Schizosaccharomyces pombe: one gene and its partner. The gene in region 1 interacts genetically with each later gene. Each region holds a gene or a part of one and is shown on either strand. Other genes may lie near its edges. The genes, in order: mkt1 and sir2.

Evidence for each region.
Region 2: of mkt1 (region 1) and sir2, changing one enhances a phenotype caused by changing the other (phenotypic enhancement), as found in Schizosaccharomyces pombe (one study listed by BioGRID).

The regions. Positions count from the first base shown.
Region 1 is NC_003424.3:1,015,370-1,021,132, forward strand, and holds mkt1 (post-transcriptional RNA stability regulator Mkt1), read right to left. Parts: upstream 3,685-5,763; 5' UTR 3,507-3,684; coding exon 3,500-3,506; exon of another isoform or gene 3,459-3,499; coding exon 1,361-3,458; intron 1,301-1,360; coding exon 997-1,300; 3' UTR 734-996; downstream 1-733. Other genes in the region: oac1 (anion transporter), read right to left, coding at 4,243-5,205.
Region 2 is NC_003423.3:3,608,530-3,613,433, forward strand, and holds sir2 (histone deacetylase, Sirtuin family, NAD-dependent Sir2), read right to left. Parts: upstream 3,158-4,904; 5' UTR 3,028-3,157; coding exon 2,844-3,027; exon of another isoform or gene 2,681-2,843; coding exon 2,618-2,680; exon of another isoform or gene 2,581-2,617; intron 2,577-2,580; coding exon 2,494-2,576; intron 2,364-2,493; coding exon 2,332-2,363; exon of another isoform or gene 2,247-2,331; coding exon 1,810-2,246; exon of another isoform or gene 1,746-1,809; coding exon 1,117-1,745; 3' UTR 688-1,116; downstream 1-687. Other genes in the region: plasma membrane ZIP zinc transmembrane transporter Zrt1, read left to right, coding at 1-587; heat shock protein Hsp104, read right to left, coding at 3,830-4,904. UniProt on the Schizosaccharomyces pombe protein: Involved in silencing within the mating-type region, at the telomeres, and according to PubMed:12867036 also within centromeric DNA regions.

The DNA of each region.
Region 1 (5,763 bases):
CACCAAATGGAAAATCAAACTATTATTTGATGGTAGCTTGCTGAACCACACGGGACATTGTGCTACGCCTTACAAAATGAGACTACACTAATAGCAGTTCATTAAAGTTAAGCTTAATGAACTCCACAGTAATGGCTTACGCTTGCTTAAGACTTTCTAAATAGTGTGTCAAGTCTCGCAATATGCAATGTAAACAATAAGTTACAGAGATTTTGATTAACTGTCAGTTACTTCAACTACTACCGTTTATATTTAAAAACTGACATTGTCAGAATTTTGTTAACTATCGACAAATATTATTAGATGTTAGTGTGAGAATTGGAGATTCTCAAAGCTAGCAAGTTGTCGTAAACAGCATCTATACAGTAAATATCTTAAAACAAAATTATACTATCCAGCTTGTAAGTGGTTAAACTAAGCAAGTCTTTCTGTAAGCACAAGGTTTTTAATTCGTGAAATTGATTAGGTAAAATTATGTTTCTGATGCGAATTCGGTTTTTTGTGAGTGAGCCAGTACACATAAACTAAAATCTAAAAAATCCGCTTGAACTTATCAAATAAGTTAAAAATTATTCCCATACTATAGTGTAAAAACAACGGTATAAGTTATTTTTTGACAGGTAAGTGTATTGCTAAAAATAAATATAGTATCCTTTAGAACAAATTAAACTATATCTATAAAAAAGTTTAAACATCATTGGGTTTTCATTCAAAGCTGTGCTTCTCTATTTTTCTTTCCCTTCCTTTTTTCGGGAAGAAACAATGTAGTTGAATATTAATATTAACAATACTTTACTTGTTCGAAATAATATCTCAACAATAATCAAGTGTAATCACATGAGTGTATAGCATGTTGAAAATGCTTCGACAGTATGAGGGAAAGTAATTCATGTAAATGTGCATTATGACTGTGCCGAATGTGTTAAAAGCTCCCGCTAAAAGAAGGATACTTCTCTCACTAATTTATTTCTATTCATAAACTACTAGTTCTGGTCTTCATAAGCCAAGAGAAAATATCCATTGGTTAGTAAGGAAGAGTTTACTTAAAACGAGCTTGCCAATGGCACTTGTATTTTCTGCTTCCTTAACCCCTTCCATAAAAGTTTTCCAGAATTCCAAAAACTGGGCAATATGGTTTTCCGCAGATCCAATGGTTGGGAATTCCTTTTCTATTATTTCATAAGCCTTCTGGATGTTTTCCTGTTGAGAACTGGCTTCTTGCTCTTTTGAAATGATTTCAAAAAAGCGCTTGACAACAAAACCTGAGACAAGGCTACCATTTATGTTTTGAAAAGGTAAGCTAAATTGGTTAGAAACTTTAAATATAAACAAAAAAGGAGAAAGAGAAAAAAACACGTACGTTTTTCGGATAAGTTTAGGATCTATTTTGCTTTTGTCGACGTTTCTGTTCAAGATGACCGAGGCAAGAATCATGGCCATGAGTTCCTTCAAGTTGGATCCGAAGCTAGTTTGTAGCTGATAAAACTGTAATAAATTCTCATCAACTATAGAAATTTTACTAACTTCAGGTCTCTGTTTTATTGGTAGAAATGTTGCAACCTTTGCCAAGAACTCTGTGGCAGAAGTTATGGATAAATCGGCGATGCTTGCACTTGAGGAGGAAAGTAAAGAGGGCTCTTTTAATTGTCTTAGTCTAAGAAGCTCGAATAAAACAACAACGGAAGTTTGGTTCTGTAAGTGACAATTTTCCAACGCTTTTAACAAGGGGCATCCCCAAGATGTTAATTGATGAGATGTTAAAACGAAAGATCTAATTTGCAAAAATCTGTAGCAAGAACTTAAGACGATTTCCGCAGTAGAAGACAGAGGATGCTTGGGAGGGTTTTTTATGCCAATATTACCTTCAGTGCAAAAGCTTTTCTTTACAAATACCGGATCGTTCAAAGCACGTAGTAGATCAAATAATACAACGGGTTCTTCCTTTAAAAAATTACTAGATAAATAACTCGGTAAGTTTTCTTCGTATATCATCCATGCTCTCGTATCATTATACAAAGGAGGATCATAGCTGTGCATTACCTTCAAAGAAGCTTGCTGATTATGGCCATGAAGGGAAACAATATCTCTGGCTTGGTAAAATCTGTTAAGCGGTTGGGTCAATAAATTTAGCCCCTGCGACCATATTTCTTCTAAATCGTCAACAAATCGCCGTTGATCCACAGCCGCTACAGCTGCTGCATTGTCGCGACCAGGATTTAAACCAGAATTAGCACCAGAAAATGTTCCTTGTGATGCTTTGTCACCAATATGTTGTTCAAGTATGGAAACAGGATCACTAAAACATCCAGATACTAAAGCACCTATCATTTTGCAAGGAATAAGACCGCGAGAAATGTAAAAATAAATCTCGTTGGGAAGACGGGTGCCAAAATATATATTTATGTCGTTAGGAACAGATTCTGTGGGAACTGGTGGTAAAGTGAGACCTTTTGTATCCATCACAATTCCAAACTTAGAGAAACAAACAGCCCTTTTGTACTGTTGAAGATAATCTTGAAAAATGGGCTGGGGAAAGATTTCAGCAAAATGAAGGACTGCACGATACGCAGAACCAAACATACGAACAAGCTCCATTGCGCTTTTAATTAGAAAAGTACCCTCAATCTGAGGAAATGTAGGAGAAATAGCAGTACCACACAATAAACAGGAATCGATGAACTGCTGCCATGAAAGGCCGTTCGTGTCTTGAAGAAGGGCATTTCCATCTAACCATGTGAATGAACTTTTAGCGGCCGAATTGATAGTTGTTTGAGTTGATGGGGATGAAGGGTCAGATGAGATTTTAACGTTAGAAGATGTGTTCATAGAAGTAATAAATTTTTTAACACCAAAAAGAAGCAGATCCGTGGAACCATAGATGGCATCGATGTAAGGTGAAGATGTGCCGTTTAGAAAATATGCTAATTGAGCCATAGCCAGATACGGGGCGACAAAATACTCCACATTACATTGATCTAAGTAAAACTTTACCTGGTCGCAAAGACGATCTAAATGATCTCGCTGATTGGTGTACAAAAGTGTTGGTTTACTTTCGCCGTAATTCGCAGGACCACTTGCGTCCATGCGGTACATATTACGCTGAATATTTGCATCATAAGGATCAAAAGCTTCGAAATCTGTCAATGCACTATGACTTTTTTGCTTTCCCGGCACTTCCAGCTGGCTGCTGGCTTCAAAGGTAAGAGGTATACCATTGAAAACAAAAATGGGTGTGATATTCTCAGTTCTCAACTGCTCAAGGAATTCCGAAATTCTGTGTTGTAGATATTCGGATTCACCATTTACTGCCAAACTTTGAAGTTCCTGTGGGGTAAAGGAATGAATAATTTGAGTCAAGTAAAAACTTGCGTCAATACCCAACTTACAGTTTTGAAAACTGCTCAAGCTAGATTTATGTTGATGCTTTTTGTCTATGATAAACAAATTCAATGAACGAACTAAAAAATTAGCAGATGAGTAGCAAGGTATTTTAACTTACTTGTCATTTTTTTTCTTTTTTTTAACTGAATTTACCAAACAGCAGTTTAAACCGTAAGGCGGTTTTTTTTTACTAAACCTTTAATAGATCCTTAAAAACAAACAGATTATTTTTATATGTAACGGATATATTCAGATTTTATTATGTTGTACTGAATAGAGGTGTCCGATCCGTTTATTAGAGTCAGCAGGAACGAGCAAATTAGTGAACACGAATACTACGATAAGAAGTTCAGAAAATATTTTATTAAACTAACATGATTTATCTAAAAAACATATAACTGTTGGCGAAATGTAAAGATTTCAAATAAAAACGACGCAAAATGAAGAAATTTATCCATTGTGACTACACAAAGCGGTAATGTTTCCAATCTTTAATTATAGAGAAAATAAGTATATTAATAACTAAATAAAAGGTAAGTTGATATACAAACGCAGCCAGATGCCTGAAATCCAAAAACAAATACGTACATATATTGAGATAACTGACGGATATATATTACAAAAGACAAAAACATGCCGATTGATCAAAAACAGCTTGAAAAGAAAAATCGACTTTTAAATGAAAGTAGAGTGGAAATAAGTAACGAGACAACGAATGTAAATAAAAATCGTTCTTAGATACAAACATCATTTCTTTACAATTTAACTGTTCACTTGATATACACCAAAGCCACTGGGGGTTTTTATGGTTTAGTACCAAAATTATTTATAAATAAAGAAACGTGCGTTTGAAAAAACAACTTAATCCTTTTGGAATTTCAAAAAGAGTTTATTGGTTTGCTCCACGAAGGTAAGACAGAAAATTGTGTGAGGAGCGATTCTGGCCAAGTGAGCACCAAAACCCTTATATAAGGCAAAGAATCCTTCAGAGCGGATTGTTTTAAGGATGCAATCAATCGGATTTTTATAAAGCTCCTTGTTCTTTTGGTTGTACATACGAGTCATAACAGTATCGAAAATTTGCATGGTGCAGCATACACCAAATCCAGAAACAGCACTAGCAGTTAAGTGTTTGATCATACCCTCTTCCAATAGATTGTAATGCTCAATCATGCGTTTAGCCCAATTATAGATAGGAAGCTGAACAGAGGAACCAGAGACAGTACGGAGAATGGCAGCATCAGCACCAACAAACAAACCCTTAACACCATTTTCCTTAATAATACGACTGAATGCATTAAATATATGCTTGTAACCATACTGCTGGCCAACGGGAAATTTAGGAGAATACGACTGCATGCGAGTCTTAACCAAGAAAAAGGGAGAGCCAAACAAGGCACCACATAAACCTGAACCGGCGCCACTTGCAACGTTAATAGCTAATTTATTACCCTTGGGATCATCAAGGAACCACGTATTCAGAGTACGTCGAATCGGTTCGTAAAACCCGAGACGACAGCCATTGAGGCAGATTTGATAAACATAAGCAGTACCAAGGCCTCGTTGAAGACCTCTTATACCTTCATGTCTAGCGATTAGAGAAAATGCCTGACCGACGCTTTTGTAAATTCGCTTAGAAGGATCCAATTTTGTCAATTGACCTTGAAGTTGAAAACGCGTTTTAATAACTTCGAAAGGATTTGTCAGTGTTACAGCACCACAAGCTGCAAGACCACCTGACAAAAATCCACTAACGGGACCAAGTTTTTTCACCTGAGTAGGATTGTGTGCAGGAAGGGCTTTGATAGTTTGTTTCTCAGACATGACTTAATATTGGGATTTTTTCTTCGAATTTAAACAAAAAAATCTGCCTCAAATGGCAATTCAATTTGCGTAGCAAGTGTTGGCCGAAGGAAAAAGAATTCTTGCAGTTGAGATTTTTTCAGTGATAATAGCCTTGATTAAATTGTGCGCGGAAAATTTACCATTGCGGCAATTTGGGAAGGCAAAACGTAACTTTCGTACGGACTCAAAAAATAAGCAAAATGATACTAATAAAAAAATTATAGATTGAATTGCAATTTTTTTATTTACAAGGCACCCTAATTGCTCTATACTTTTTCCATTTTAATGCTAAATTAAACAGGTCACATGTTACTTATGTTTACTATTTGAAAATACAGATACTAGAACGCACTTAACCTCTTTAAATTAAGGATTTACCTACAATCATATATATTTTTTTTTTCTTTCTCTGTCCTACAAATATTTGGTAGAATTTTAAAATTTTTTGAATAAAAGTCATTTGAAAGTTTGAGTAATGTTTGTCAACAATAAATGCGATCGTTCGAAGGAAGGAAGGTACACACAGTTAACATTTAA
Region 2 (4,904 bases), on another chromosome or scaffold:
AATGTGTAAAGGATGACTTGGAAGAAGTAAAACTAGAACCTTATACGAATACTGATAGTACCGATTTGACTACTAAAGAAGAAGCTCGTAGTTTCTTACTAAAGCAACAACTTACTGCCTTTATAATTCTTGAATCTAGTATCATTTTGCATAGTGTTATTATCGGTCTTACAACTGCCGTCTCAGGTGAAGAATTTAAAACTTTATTTCCCGTCATTATTTTCCATCAGGCCTTTGAAGGTTGTGGTTTAGGTTCTCGTTTGGCGGGAATGGCCTGGGGCCCAAAAACTGCATGGGTACCTTGGGTGTTGGGCGTTATCTATTCGTTGGTTACGCCTATTGGTATGGCAGCTGGTTTAGGTGTTCGTGAGCATTGGGATCCTCTTGCTCATGGGTCTTATGCTGCCCAAGGTGTTTTGGATGCTATCTCATCTGGAATTTTGGTTTATGCTGGTTTAGTGGAATTACTTGCACACGATTTCTTATTTAGTCCTGAAAGAGAACGTAACTGGTATAAGCTTATTTACCTTTTGGCATGCTCGATGGCTGGTACTGGAGTTATGGCTTTGTTAGGTAAATGGGCTTGATTTGGTGGCTTTTTCGATGATCCGTGCATTTTATATTCTTCATTAAATCTGTTTTCTTCTTTTGAGTTTGAGTGTCAATATCGTTGACCAATTTCTAATTGTCCGTTTTCAGTTGTTTCTCTTTAGTATCGTACAATTAGATGCTTCATTGGTTGTATTGATATGTACCAATCAATCTTTCAATTTTAAATAATAATTGTGTCATTTTCACTGATTTACTATGCTTAAAAAAGTAGCTAATTTTGCATAGCCTATGAATGTAATTTGCTTCAATGTTCATTTACTAATTACACAGTCCTTGGTATTGTAAAATGTATTATAACTTGTTTTAATGTGTTTTCACCCAGTTTAGCAGATTTAAACATTAGGTGCGAAGAGAAAAAACAGTTTTTAACAATGGCACTTACAAAACTAAGAAGTCTCAAACGGATAATAAGTTAATGTCCAATAATCTGGCTCTCATACTCGATATATGTATATAATATATTTGCTTCTACATTCAACTTCGATAGATCGATCAGTCCTAAAATTAACAACTACCGTTTGTTGTGCTCGTGATATGATAGGTGCTGGGCTCCTCAAATTTTATATCCAAATCCGTTTCGAAAGCTCGCGTTTTGGAACCACTATGACACTCAGGTAAATCGCAAAGCGCTTGTAATTCATTCAGCCATCCAGCACGTTTACAAATCTCCACAATAACCCAATCACAATAAGGACTTAGAAAATTTACATCGAATTGGGTATGACGAACAGGAGTCCTCGAAATGTAAATCTGAGGAGTAGTAGGAGGAATAACACTGATGAGTTCTGAAACAGGAGCCACTTTTAAAGAAGTTCCAATACAAATTAATAAATCAGTCTCTTCAAGCTCACCACTCCCGACTTTGTTAAAGAAAGAATCCGGTAAGGCTTCCCCAAAAAATGTGATATCAGGTTTCATAATCCCAGGTTGAGCTAGATCATCTTCAGAAGATTCACTATCACCATCTGAAAAATAATGTTTCTCTTTTTTATTTTGACCGACTCTTCTTAATTTTAAGGGTGGTTTTCCGCATTCATTGCAGTAAGAAACTCTTTGATTTCTTATGTCTTCATATAACTCCGATCCATCCACCTTGTGCTTGCATTTGATACAAGTTGCGGTAGCAAAAGACCCTATATAATCAAATTAGACAAAATCACCAGTGCTCGAGATGCAAATCGGAAAATAAATACTTACCATGACATTGAATAATTTTGTTATCGGAGAGTCCAGTCTTTTTTTCCAAATTGTCTATATTTTGGGTAAACAATGTTGATAATTTATTCTTCTTTTCAAGCAATCTAATGAAGGCATGCGAGGGGGAATAATGATTCGTCTCCGGCAAAAGATCTCTAGCAAAAGTATAAAAAATTTCTGGATTTTCTCTAAACGTATGGATATCAAACATTTCAGAAGGTTCCGATAATCCATGGCGTGCCAAACGGGCATAAAAACCATTGTCTGAACGGAAATCTAAAATTCCCAAACTTGTACTTATGCCTGCCCCAACAAGGACGACAACATTTTTAGCTTTTTTCAATAAATTAACAACATCTTCAAAGGTATTAAAATGTGGAAGTTTGATTCTCCTAGCAACCTCACGTTTTAAAACTTCCTTCAGCAAAGGAAGTAAACTAATTAGCACGTTAGTATATCGATAGCAGATATTTTAAAAAATAAAAGATAAAAAGATAAGAAGGAAGTTAAAGAAAAGCATACTCTATGTCTTCAAACTCTTCAAGTGCACTAGGCTATTTACGTTAATAAATCTAGGTAAAGTCATAAGAAAACAAAACATGCAGTAGACCAAATTATTATTGCAATTTAACAAAAATAATCTGCTAATTTAATGTAATGCAAGTTATAAATCAGTAAGCATACCAAATTGATTCCAAGTTTTTTTAAAATCGATCGTACAGGCAACTCTTCTTCTATTAAATATTTCTCCAAGAATTTCGCATAGCCTACAAATACTAGTTAAAATGTAAATTAAGTAACTCCTTACCTGAAGCCCTTAAATATCTGACCATTTCGGATCGTTCATCCAAATCACTTATGTTTTCTGTTTCTAAGGAATCGTTAACTTTTTAAATAATTAAAATAAACTAAAGTATATGAAAAGCACATAGCTAACCTGAACTCAAAATCGTTGATCAATTGTAAATTTTGTAAATTCAAATAGACTTGCGCGTACCCTTGAAGGTATTGGAGTTAATAGTTGATATTCATACCTGGTTTATCCCATTCATCAGAATCAACCTCTTCATCCTCAGTTTCTTTACTGCCGCACATAATATCTACTAGTAAACTAGCACCGGAACTACTACCAGAAGAGCTAGGAGAATAACTAGCGACTGGAATTTTTTCCTCAACGGGAGTCGTCGGCATATTATTATCTAGCGGATTGGAAGCCATGACAGAGTTTGTATAACATGAAAATATGACTAATCAATTATTTTTAAGGAAGTATAAATTAAAGCTTCGTTTGAGAAAGGCAATGATCTACTGAACTGAAGATCTCTGGTTCAACTTTTCGATAAGTCTTATTACAATTACGAAAAGCTAGTCTCTTGTTTAGTGCAGTAAAGTTTCGTTAGCTTAATGGTATGCGGGCAACTGTGATCTCGTTATTTCCTGGTAATAATGGCTATTAGAAGCAAAGCACTGTATAAGTTTAACTATACAACTTGTTAATTTAAACGTTGCTTTGAACCATGAGAACTGGAATGCGTATTAGTATGCAATGCGCAAGTGTAGAAAGTAATGAAATGATATGATAGTGATTTACCAAATGTTAAAGTTAATCATGTAAATTCAATTTAAAATCTACTAAAAGTATGAGAGCTAATTCTGCTTTGATTTTATAAGGAATTACGAGCACTTTCTTACAAGCTCGACTTTCTTGAATGGACTGCATTAATTAATACCTACTAAAATAAATGGAGGTTTTTCGTAAATAACAATGGATTATTTGATAAATTTAAGATTCAATGTTTCATCATACTTGAATTGCTAATAACTAAAAACGATGTACTTAGCTTTTGTTAAATTGATTCTATCTATTCGATAAAGTTCATTGAACATTTTAATGAGAAAACAGTACTTCCTAAAAAGTTTATATACTATATTTTTATAAATAAATAAAATATATTAAGATTAAGCATATCATTAAACTATATCATAAAGTATCGTTAGAACTTTCTCATTTGAAATACATTTATTCCAATTCTTCATCATTAACATCGTCGTCAATACCATCCATGTCAATATCAGCAGAGCCGTTTGCATTAGCTTCATGATTTGGTTTGACAAATATCTTGCCATTTTGGACTACGACATGAGCAGTCTCCTTATCGCGAAGCTGGCCATTCAAAATTAAGACAGCCATGGGATTCAAAACTTGATTTTGAATGACACGGTTCAAAGGTCTTGCACCATAAGCAGGGGAATAACCAGCGCTTCCAAGAAGGTCTTTAGCTTCGTCGCTAACCTCGATTTTAATTGAGCGATGATTGGATTGAAGCCGTTTCTGAACCTCTAATATACGATTTTCGACAATATTGCGGATATCCACACGACGCAGACGATTAAAGATAACGATTGAAGAGATACGATTCAAAAATTCGGGACGGAAGAAGCCACGAATCGAGTTCATAACCATTTCCCGAGTGGTACTATCTATCTTTCCATCATCAGACTCATTGTCTGTTGTCAAGTATTCAGCGCCCAAGTTAGAAGTCATAATGATAACAGCATTCTTGGCATCAACAACCTGGCCTTGGCCACTAGTGATACGTCCATCATCTAGTACCTGCAAAAGTACAGTCAATACTTCTGGAGCAGCCTTTTCAATCTCGTCAAACAAGATGACGGAGTAAGGTCGTCGACGAAGTTGTTCAGTAAGCTGTCCACCAGCTTCATGTCCAACATAACCGGGTGGTGCTCCAATGAGACGTGAAACAGAGTGTTTTTCCATGTATTCAGACATGTCAATACGAATCATTGCATTTTCATCATCAAACATAAATGATGCCAATGCCTTTGTCAATAAAGTCTTACCAGTACCGGAAGGACCGCAAAACAAGAAAGATGCGATTGGTTGATTAGGATCAGAAAGACCAGCACGAGATAAGCGAATGGCGTTTGCAACTGCAGTAACTGCTTCATTTTGACCAATTACTTGTTTACTGAGAACCTTCTCCATGTTAAGGAGTCGTTCCTTTTCAGTTGTCTTCAAACGAGTAACCGGAATACCAGTCCACCTTGCAACGATTTCGTTGATTTGATCGGGC